Struthio camelus: one gene and its partner. The protein of the gene in region 1 binds, or shares a complex with, the protein of each later gene. Links are inferred from orthologs where the notes say so. Each region holds a gene or a part of one and is shown on either strand. Other genes may lie near its edges.

Region 1 (3,910 bases):
AGGAAGAAGTGTCTGGGACCATGAAAATCAGCATCCGAATTATGTTAAACTCCATTACATTAAGAAACTCTGATAACCCCTCAACTCTAGCAGATTTCTATTGCAGCCATTTAATATACTCCCAGCATCAGAAATCCACTGTTTTGTCAGGAGTTACTATTTGTACTGGAGGGACAGCTGAATGAAACATGCATCCATCTCAGCTCAAAGTCTGACATTAACCTAGTAACAAAGATGGGTTTGCACTTAGCCAGCCAGACAGTAAAATAAGGCAGCTGAGGCTTGAACACACTTTTTGTTCCGCTGTTCCCAGAATAAGAGCAGTAATCTCCTACACTAAGGCAAGGAGGATAAATCAAGAGGGATGAGGGGAGGAAACATCTTGAAAAATGATGACTAAATCCACCAAAGGCCTGGTACTGCCCGGAGTGCTACTGATACTGAACTGACACACAGGCAGATTGAAGAGGAAGAAACAGTTTAATTCCCCTTTTGGGCATCCTAGTTAAGATCTGCAATATTAACATAAACCGTCACTTAGTTCGGTTTACGTGCACACACTGGACTGTAAACCACAGTGGCTTAGGGATGGATATAAGTCCTGTCCTACCAACTCTGCTGAGTGAGCAATCACCTGCAGCAGAAGGGAAGGAGCTGTAATCGCTTTAGCTGCTCCAGATAAATCCATATGCAATTGGGAGCCAAAGCACTGGCACAACAGTGCTTGTTTATAATTCTATCATATCACTATATCATGCAAAGAATTCCCTTTGGAAGTCTGGGTGTTGCAACAATATTTAGCACTGAGAATAGCCACATTCAGCAGAACGGAGTGTTATTCATACCCTATGTTACCTTTAGCATGTGATATTAGTTCCTGAAGAATTAGGTAAAAATCCAAGAGTTATTTCAGTCTAGATTTTGTCCACATCATCTTTTCCAGTGACTAGTAATAGCTGTTCATAAGCAATATATAAATCAGGGCATAATTTAAAAAAAATACTACTTTGTGTTACAACCATGCTGAAACAACATCTGCCTAAACCCACAACAAAGCAGCAAGTTTGGGAGCTAGATTCCCTTCCTTTTAAAATGAAGGAGAAACAGAAAATTTCTCCCCTCACATTCAGTCACTGAGCTTAGAAATAATGTTACAGATCAGTAATGCTGTAGTTTGCCCTAGAGAAAGAAAGGAGATCTGGCTTTTTTCCAAAGTCCTTTAGCAGTGTTCTGCCATTACTCAAGGTATTACCAAACATTCACGGAATGTCATCTAGGCACTCTTAGAGTTTGTCAAGAAATGTTTGTGTTCCAGTTTTTCCTTCTGATGAGATCACAGTAAAAGTTTGTTTTACTTTCGAACAAATGTAAACAGAAGCAAGGTTATTCCACTGCTAAAGCTGTCTAAGTCATAACAGATTTTTGTTTATTTCAGGTCCTGTCACTAGCATGTAAGCATATTTTAATCTCTCTACTTCAGTTTCATTTAAATGATTTTGAGCACCAAGAGTCCACTAAAACAAACAGAGAAAATTAGTTTAGCTTTCTTCATCCAAACAGACTATTTAAAAAGCTAGACACTTCATGAACAGCTATGGTCCTGTCAATACCAGAATGAGTTTTACTGCAAAAAAAAAAAAAAAATTCCTTCCTATCCATTAAAACACTTCACAAATATCAAAGTAATAAGCGGCAAATGCAAGTCAACCCTCTCAAATCTACTCACTGAATAAACTGTGGATTTACAAACTCAGTATTTCAGCTGTCACCTTTCGCATGACAGGTCCGCCGCCCACAGAAGCGCACCCCAACCTTGCAAAACCCCTCGCTTCCTCCTCGACATGCCGCCTCCAAGAGTTGCGCCGGAGGAGCCCAAAACAGCGAAGAAGGGAGAAGGTGCTGCGAGCCGTGAGCCAGCACTACCGCCGGGGATGGCGTCGCCGACCCCGGTGCGCGACCGGAGGCGGCTGAGCAGGGACGCGGCCGCCTCCCCCCAGGGCGCGGAGAGCGAGGTGCGAGGCCCGATCCCCCCCCCCTCCACCCCCGCGGCCCCTCTCACCTGCCGGCCGCGCCGCCTCGCGGGGGGCGCCGCTGGTGCCGGCGCCGACGGCGCCGCTGGAGGCAGCCCTGGGCAGGGGGGCCAACCTGCCCGCCGCTCCCTGCCAAGAGGGGGCCGCGGCGGCGCGGGGCCCCGGCCCGGCGGTGGCTGTGGGGGCTGGCGCCGGAGCGAAGACGTAGAAGGGGCTGTAGTAAGCGGCGGCTGCCCCCGGCGGAGGAGGAGGAGGAGAGAAGGAGGAGGAGGAAGGAGGCGGCGGCGGCGAGGACGCGCGGCCGGGGCCCGCGGCGTACGAGGGGCCGGCGGCGGCCAGCAGGGCGGGGAGACAGCTCTGCCAGCTGAGGTAGCCGCAGTAGGAGTCCCAGAGCCACTGGTGCACGCGCCGCGCGTACTCCGCCGCGCTCAGTGCCTTCGCCTCCCCGCCGTCGCCCCCAACGGCTGCGGAGGAGGAGCACGAGAGTGACGACGCAGCCGCGGCCTCCCCTCTCGCGCCGCTGTCGCTCCTCTCGCTGCTTCCCCCCGCCGTCGCTGCTACTGCTGCTGCCGCCGCCCCAGCTCCGGGCCGACCCGCGCCGGGCTCCGCGCCGGGCTCCGCCATCTCCTCCATCCCCTCTGACACTGAGCGTCTGCGCTCACGGCGCATGCGCGAGGGCGACGCCTCGCCTCTCCCATTCGCCGAGGCGGAGAGGGGGAGAGGGGAGAAGCGGGCACAACCTAGAAAGAGCCCCTCAGGGGCCCTCCGCGGCGAGGAGCGTACCACCCTCCAGTGGTCCCCTTTCTGCTTCTGTGCGAGGAAAGAACAAGCTTCGCTAGGAGGCAGGAAGGCTTCTCTCTCCTCCCCCTCCCCCCGCCGTGAGATGGTCTCGCCTAGTGCTGAGGCAGAGGGCGAGGGGGAGGGGAGCAAAGGAAGGGAAGGGGGCGGGGTCTCGCGCTGGGCCCAGGGCCTTTACAGCGGTTGGCGTCGCCGAGCCCTTCGGGCCGGGGCTGCCTTACGCGAGACCCGGCGGCTTAACGGCCGCGCCGCGCACCACGCACACGTAGAGCCTCTTTTTTCCCCAAGCCGCGCCGCACCGCGGGGGCTGGCCCTGCCTACGAGACAGGTTCAGCTGCGTCAGGGCAGGCGCCACCCCCTGCGGTCGCTGCCGCGCCCCTTGCCCTTGCCTTAAGGAGAGGGCTGAGGGAGATGTTCCCCTCACGCCTTCCTGCGCGGGGCGGGGAGGAGAGGAGGGAGACCTTCCCTGCCCTGAGCTCTCCTTGCCCTGCGGCGCTGCCTCGGGTTTCTTGGCTGCTGCTGACGGCAGTTTGAGCGTGTACCCTGGAAGCGCCTTTCCCGTTGCTCGCTCGTCCCGTGCTAGCAAGAGTCGTGAGTTGCCCTGTGCGAGGGGTCGCTTCCCCCTCGCCGCGGACGGGACGACGGAAGCGGCTGCCGGGGTTGCAAACCTAAAAACAAGACCCAAAGCGCGGAGGAGAAGTAATGCCATGCTACTCCAGTCCCAAGCGTAGTAGAACCTGCGCTTTCGAAAGGTCTCCCAGCAAAAACACACGTATAGGAGACGTTTAATTCTTCCTCAATATAAATACCGAGGCCTCCTCCCCCTCTTTCCCCCCCCCCCCCCAACGCCTTAGGCGGCCGCAGCGGCTTGTCGCGCCGCCCGGGGGCAGCGCGGGGAGCCGCGCTCGCCGGCGCAGCAGGGAGCTCGGCCCGCGCCCCCGCTGAGGGCGCCGCCAGCCCGTCGGCCCCCTCCGCCGTCCAAGGCTGAGCCGTTCAGGTCTGGTCAGGCGGGAAGTCCCCGTTTCACAGGCTGAAATCTGAAAGCTGTCTGCGGGCAGTGAGGTTACTTGCACTAGTGCCTT
Region 2 (3,910 bases), on another chromosome or scaffold:
AGCTAAATTATGTATTTTGGTATATTTATTGCACGCTCTAAGAGCGGAATATTTCATGTTCTTCCAGCATATTTTATGCTGACTTCTTAGCATGAAATACCTGTAGTCTGGCTTCTTGACAGTAAGGTAGTGTTTTAAGAAAATATATACAGTATTGCTATCAATGTTAATTAAGTACAAAAGCATCTAAAACAGAATGCTTTACACTACTTAAGAGGAGCCCTCCTGCCTGAGCTCCTCGCCTGTCTGCTGTCTTGGTTCCCTCTTAGTGCAAATTCTTATTTTTTCTAATTCTGACTCTTGCTGCTGACTTTCAGCCCTGTATCTAAGTAGCCAAAAGGCTGTCCCTTTTGGAATAAGTCAGAAGGGCTGGGTGCAAGCCTTTCCCGGAGTGTCAGTAGTCTTCTGGAGAACAGTCTTGAAAACTATTTTTGCTGTAATAGTTAGCTTTTCGTCAGTTACCGAGGGTAACCGCATACAATGTTACTAAAGGAGAACTGTATTTGTTTTCTAGGTTGGTCCCTGGTCCAGGAAAGCTTAGTAACAGAGTTGTCTGCATTGTAATCCAGAACTGTTCTGTCTTGTCTTTGTTAGGTTTCTTTATATGTGTTTTCAGTCTTTTCATGGTTAGCCTTTTGTTCTTGATGGAGCGCCCAGGTCTGAGTTAGCTTGTGGTGTTTGTTTTTTTTTTCTCTTTTTTTCTTTTTTTTTGAAAGGATAGTATCCAGAGCTGTGAAGCAGCTCCAGGTCTGAAGCTGTTTCTGGTTCAGGCTGGTTTTCTTACTATTCCTTGCTAATGAACGGGTAAACCTTAATGCAGATGAGAGATGAAACATTTTTCAGTGGATCCTGGATGTTACTATCTGCTAGGTGATCTCATGTGTTCTACAGTGTATTTTATTGACACCTTGCTCTGGCAGTACAAGAATTAAGCAAATTTAGCTGAAAATTAAGCAGTAGCAAATTTGGGTGTAGTCTGCTTGCTTTTCAGTTTGTAAGAGGTGAAATTCTTGAACTTTTGCTGTTGGTTAGAGCTTTCAAGAACTGCAAAGGAAGAAGAAGCCAGGAGAACTTCTCACAGTAGATAGAAATTTAAATTATTCTGATGGAATTTAGAATAGCCTCCCTCACAGCGTTTCGAAAGTGCGTAAGTGATGGTTGGATGGTGATGCCAGACTTTGTAAATCGAGGAATTATGTTTCACTTTCAGGATTACCATTAAGCTATTGTGAAAGGGAATTTGGATGGTGTTTCTCCTTCTTCACAGTTAGGCAATTATGTGAGTGGGACTTTCACAAGTATTTTATTTCACTTTTCCCAGCAAGCAGGCGAGAGTAAAGACTTTCTACCTAACTTCATTCTTGAGGTGGCATCCTTGGATTTCTTGTCTGTGATTCTTAGGTTTAATCCTCTTTTCAGTGTAGCTGACTTTTTATTAGGAGTTAGTGCACGATGTGCACGGAGCAAAGTGATGGGACAAGTGATGGAACAAAATTTCCTGAAGGGGAAGGAGAAAGGAGATGCAGAAAATACGGAGAATACTGCATGTTCTGAAATGGAAGACAACTGCAGAGGTAACTACAGCCCATCCTGAATTTTAAGGAGGATGAACACCTGTGTGTCCACATTCACTAGCTCGTTTGAAATGCAAAGGCCTAGGTAAATTCTTCTGACTGGGCATATGTGTTTTCAAATAGTCTAGTATAAAGCATACGGCATCTCCCTGCACTTCCCAATATACCAGTTTTTCTCAAGTCTTATTTTAACCCCTTTGGATAAGTAAGGGAGTAGTCATGTAACACTGCCATGAGGTGTCAGGGTAAAGCTTTTCAGCAGTTGTTCAGAGATACTCAGGATGATCAAATGTTAGGGTGGGTAGGTCTTGTACATCTTGTATTAAAACACTGAAACTCTGTTAATGACATTTATGGTTTTCCTCATATCATTGGTGCCATTAATAATCTAACATCATTTTAATCTCAGTGTTGAGGCATTCTTTTGAGAAAGTCTAACCATGGAACATATTTTCCATAACTTTGTGTTTGTATGGCTCATTTAAATCATTATTCGGCGTGAGTAATTTATCTTGTTTTGGATTATTAACTCATGTGAAGAAGGTGTGATGTGCTGAAAAAGATGAGTTAGCGGAAAGGAGCCCTTCAAGAAATGCTTGTTATTTTTTATGCAGTATGTATAAGTAATTTCTTTCTTTATTTTCCTGTCCCCATTTTTCTGTTTTTCCAGCTGTCAAACGTTTAATGAAAGAAGCTGCAGAATTGAAGGATCCTACAGATCATTACCATGCACAACCTTTGGAGGTTTGTTTCTCCGTATGTTTGCAGGAGCTTGTCATTAGCCTGTGTAATATATATACTCTAAGTTCTCTGTGTGCATATATATTAAAAACTTGTTTGTATTTTTAGATATTAATACACCTTCTTAAAATTAATTCCATTCTTTTGGCATTTTTTCCTAAGATGGAAATCAGTGGTAGAATTCCACATCTAATGGTATTATGGAACCAGGTTCTTAATGAGAGTACGTGATAGTAATGGTTTTACATTGCACCTGAGCAGTTGCATCACATGGGTGTAATGTGTTTATTCTCACCCTCCTGAGGCTCTGAGTCTACATAAATATATTATGTTTTAGTTTTGGGCGTGTAAAGCTCAACTTGATATCTGGTTCAGTTACTGAGTTGCTCAACAAAACACTTGAAACTAGATGAGCTACATGGACTTCCTATTTTGAGTGCAAAAAACTGCATGAAAGACCTTTAAATGAGTACAGGTCTGCCATGGATGCACTGACTTGTAAGAAAGAACACTTGGTTTCCGCCACAGATAGGTACTACTTTGAGGTCCTCTAAACAGTTAGTTAAGTTTCTGAGCTGAGAGAGCAGTGAAATTCTGGTGGCTAGAAGTCTAAAAGGAAACCTATTCTGATTCTGCTAGAATATTAAAAAGGTAATGTCTTGTGATGGTCAATTTTGGGATTTGATTTGACTGTTCGCAGAAATGCGTAGCACACAGCATACTTAGAGCACGGTGCATGTTTCTCGGTACTGTAAAATATACTTTATTATTGACCAGTTTTTGTCTGTATCTTGTTTTCTTCCCGCCCTCTTCTTCCTGAGGTGAAATGCAAGGTTTAATTCATACTGTCAGTCAATAGTAACTTGCATGAAGGTCTTTTTTCAGGGTAAAAACAGTGACTCACTGGGAAGAGAGCAGTGAGAGACAGATAAAAAGACAGGCTGGAAATATTGACGGTTCCCTCTGTCCTTGAAAAAATTTTTAACTAGATGGGCTGTCACAGCCCTGCGATGCTAACATTCAGCATGAGTCATGAGATCTCATTCACTGACAGCAGGCCTCATTGGACTCCTATGATAACAGTAGGAGGTTTTTTTTGTGAGTTGTGGGTGTCAGGAGGTCTGATATGGAAAGCCAAATGCAGAATCCTAAAGAAATAATACTTAAGGAGAAGTTAATTACGTGTCCAATGAAAATGTTCCAAATTTCAAATCATGCCTACTATGCAGTAAGGCAAGATAGCTTTTTCAGAATTCTTCATGGAGAAACAAAAGAGAATGGGAATTCTATAGGGCCAGAGTCAAAGCCCTGTGTTGTGTTGGGCATAGGAGGGGCTTTCAGAGGGGAGACTGTCTTTACATGTTCTCATTTTGGGTGGTTCTGTTCCCAATTCTGTAGAAATTCTTATTCACTGGGGCAAAGACCCAGCTTTCCCTTGTTTGATCCTGAGTTTTCCATCTTTCAGGTAATAAAACTTTTGTCATAATTGGTACAACTCCTGTGAAAAGCTTGCATGATAAACTTGAATTTTCCAACAAAGCCATTTTGTAAGAAAATTACCTGAAGTTACGATATTTCATCCTTTTAATCAGAAC

Evidence for each region.
Region 2: FAM8A1 (region 1) and UBE2J1 share a complex: the UniProt entries of both Homo sapiens proteins name them as parts of the HRD1 complex. The link is inferred for Struthio camelus from reciprocal best matches to the Homo sapiens genes FAM8A1 and UBE2J1.

Annotation. Positions count from the first base shown.
Region 1 is NC_090943.1:99,898,062-99,901,971, reverse strand, and holds the start of FAM8A1 (protein FAM8A1), read right to left. Parts: upstream 2,814-3,910; 5' UTR 2,700-2,813; coding exon 2,060-2,699; intron 1-2,059. UniProt on the Homo sapiens protein: Plays a role in the assembly of the HRD1 complex, a complex involved in the ubiquitin-proteasome-dependent process of ER-associated degradation (ERAD).
Region 2 is NC_090944.1:50,095,357-50,099,266, reverse strand, and holds the start of UBE2J1 (ubiquitin-conjugating enzyme E2 J1), read left to right. Parts: upstream 1-1,444; 5' UTR 1,445-1,471; coding exon 1,472-1,574; intron 1,575-2,244; coding exon 2,245-2,318; intron 2,319-3,910. UniProt on the Homo sapiens protein: Catalyzes the covalent attachment of ubiquitin to other proteins. Functions in the selective degradation of misfolded membrane proteins from the endoplasmic reticulum (ERAD) and is essential for cells to recover from ER stress.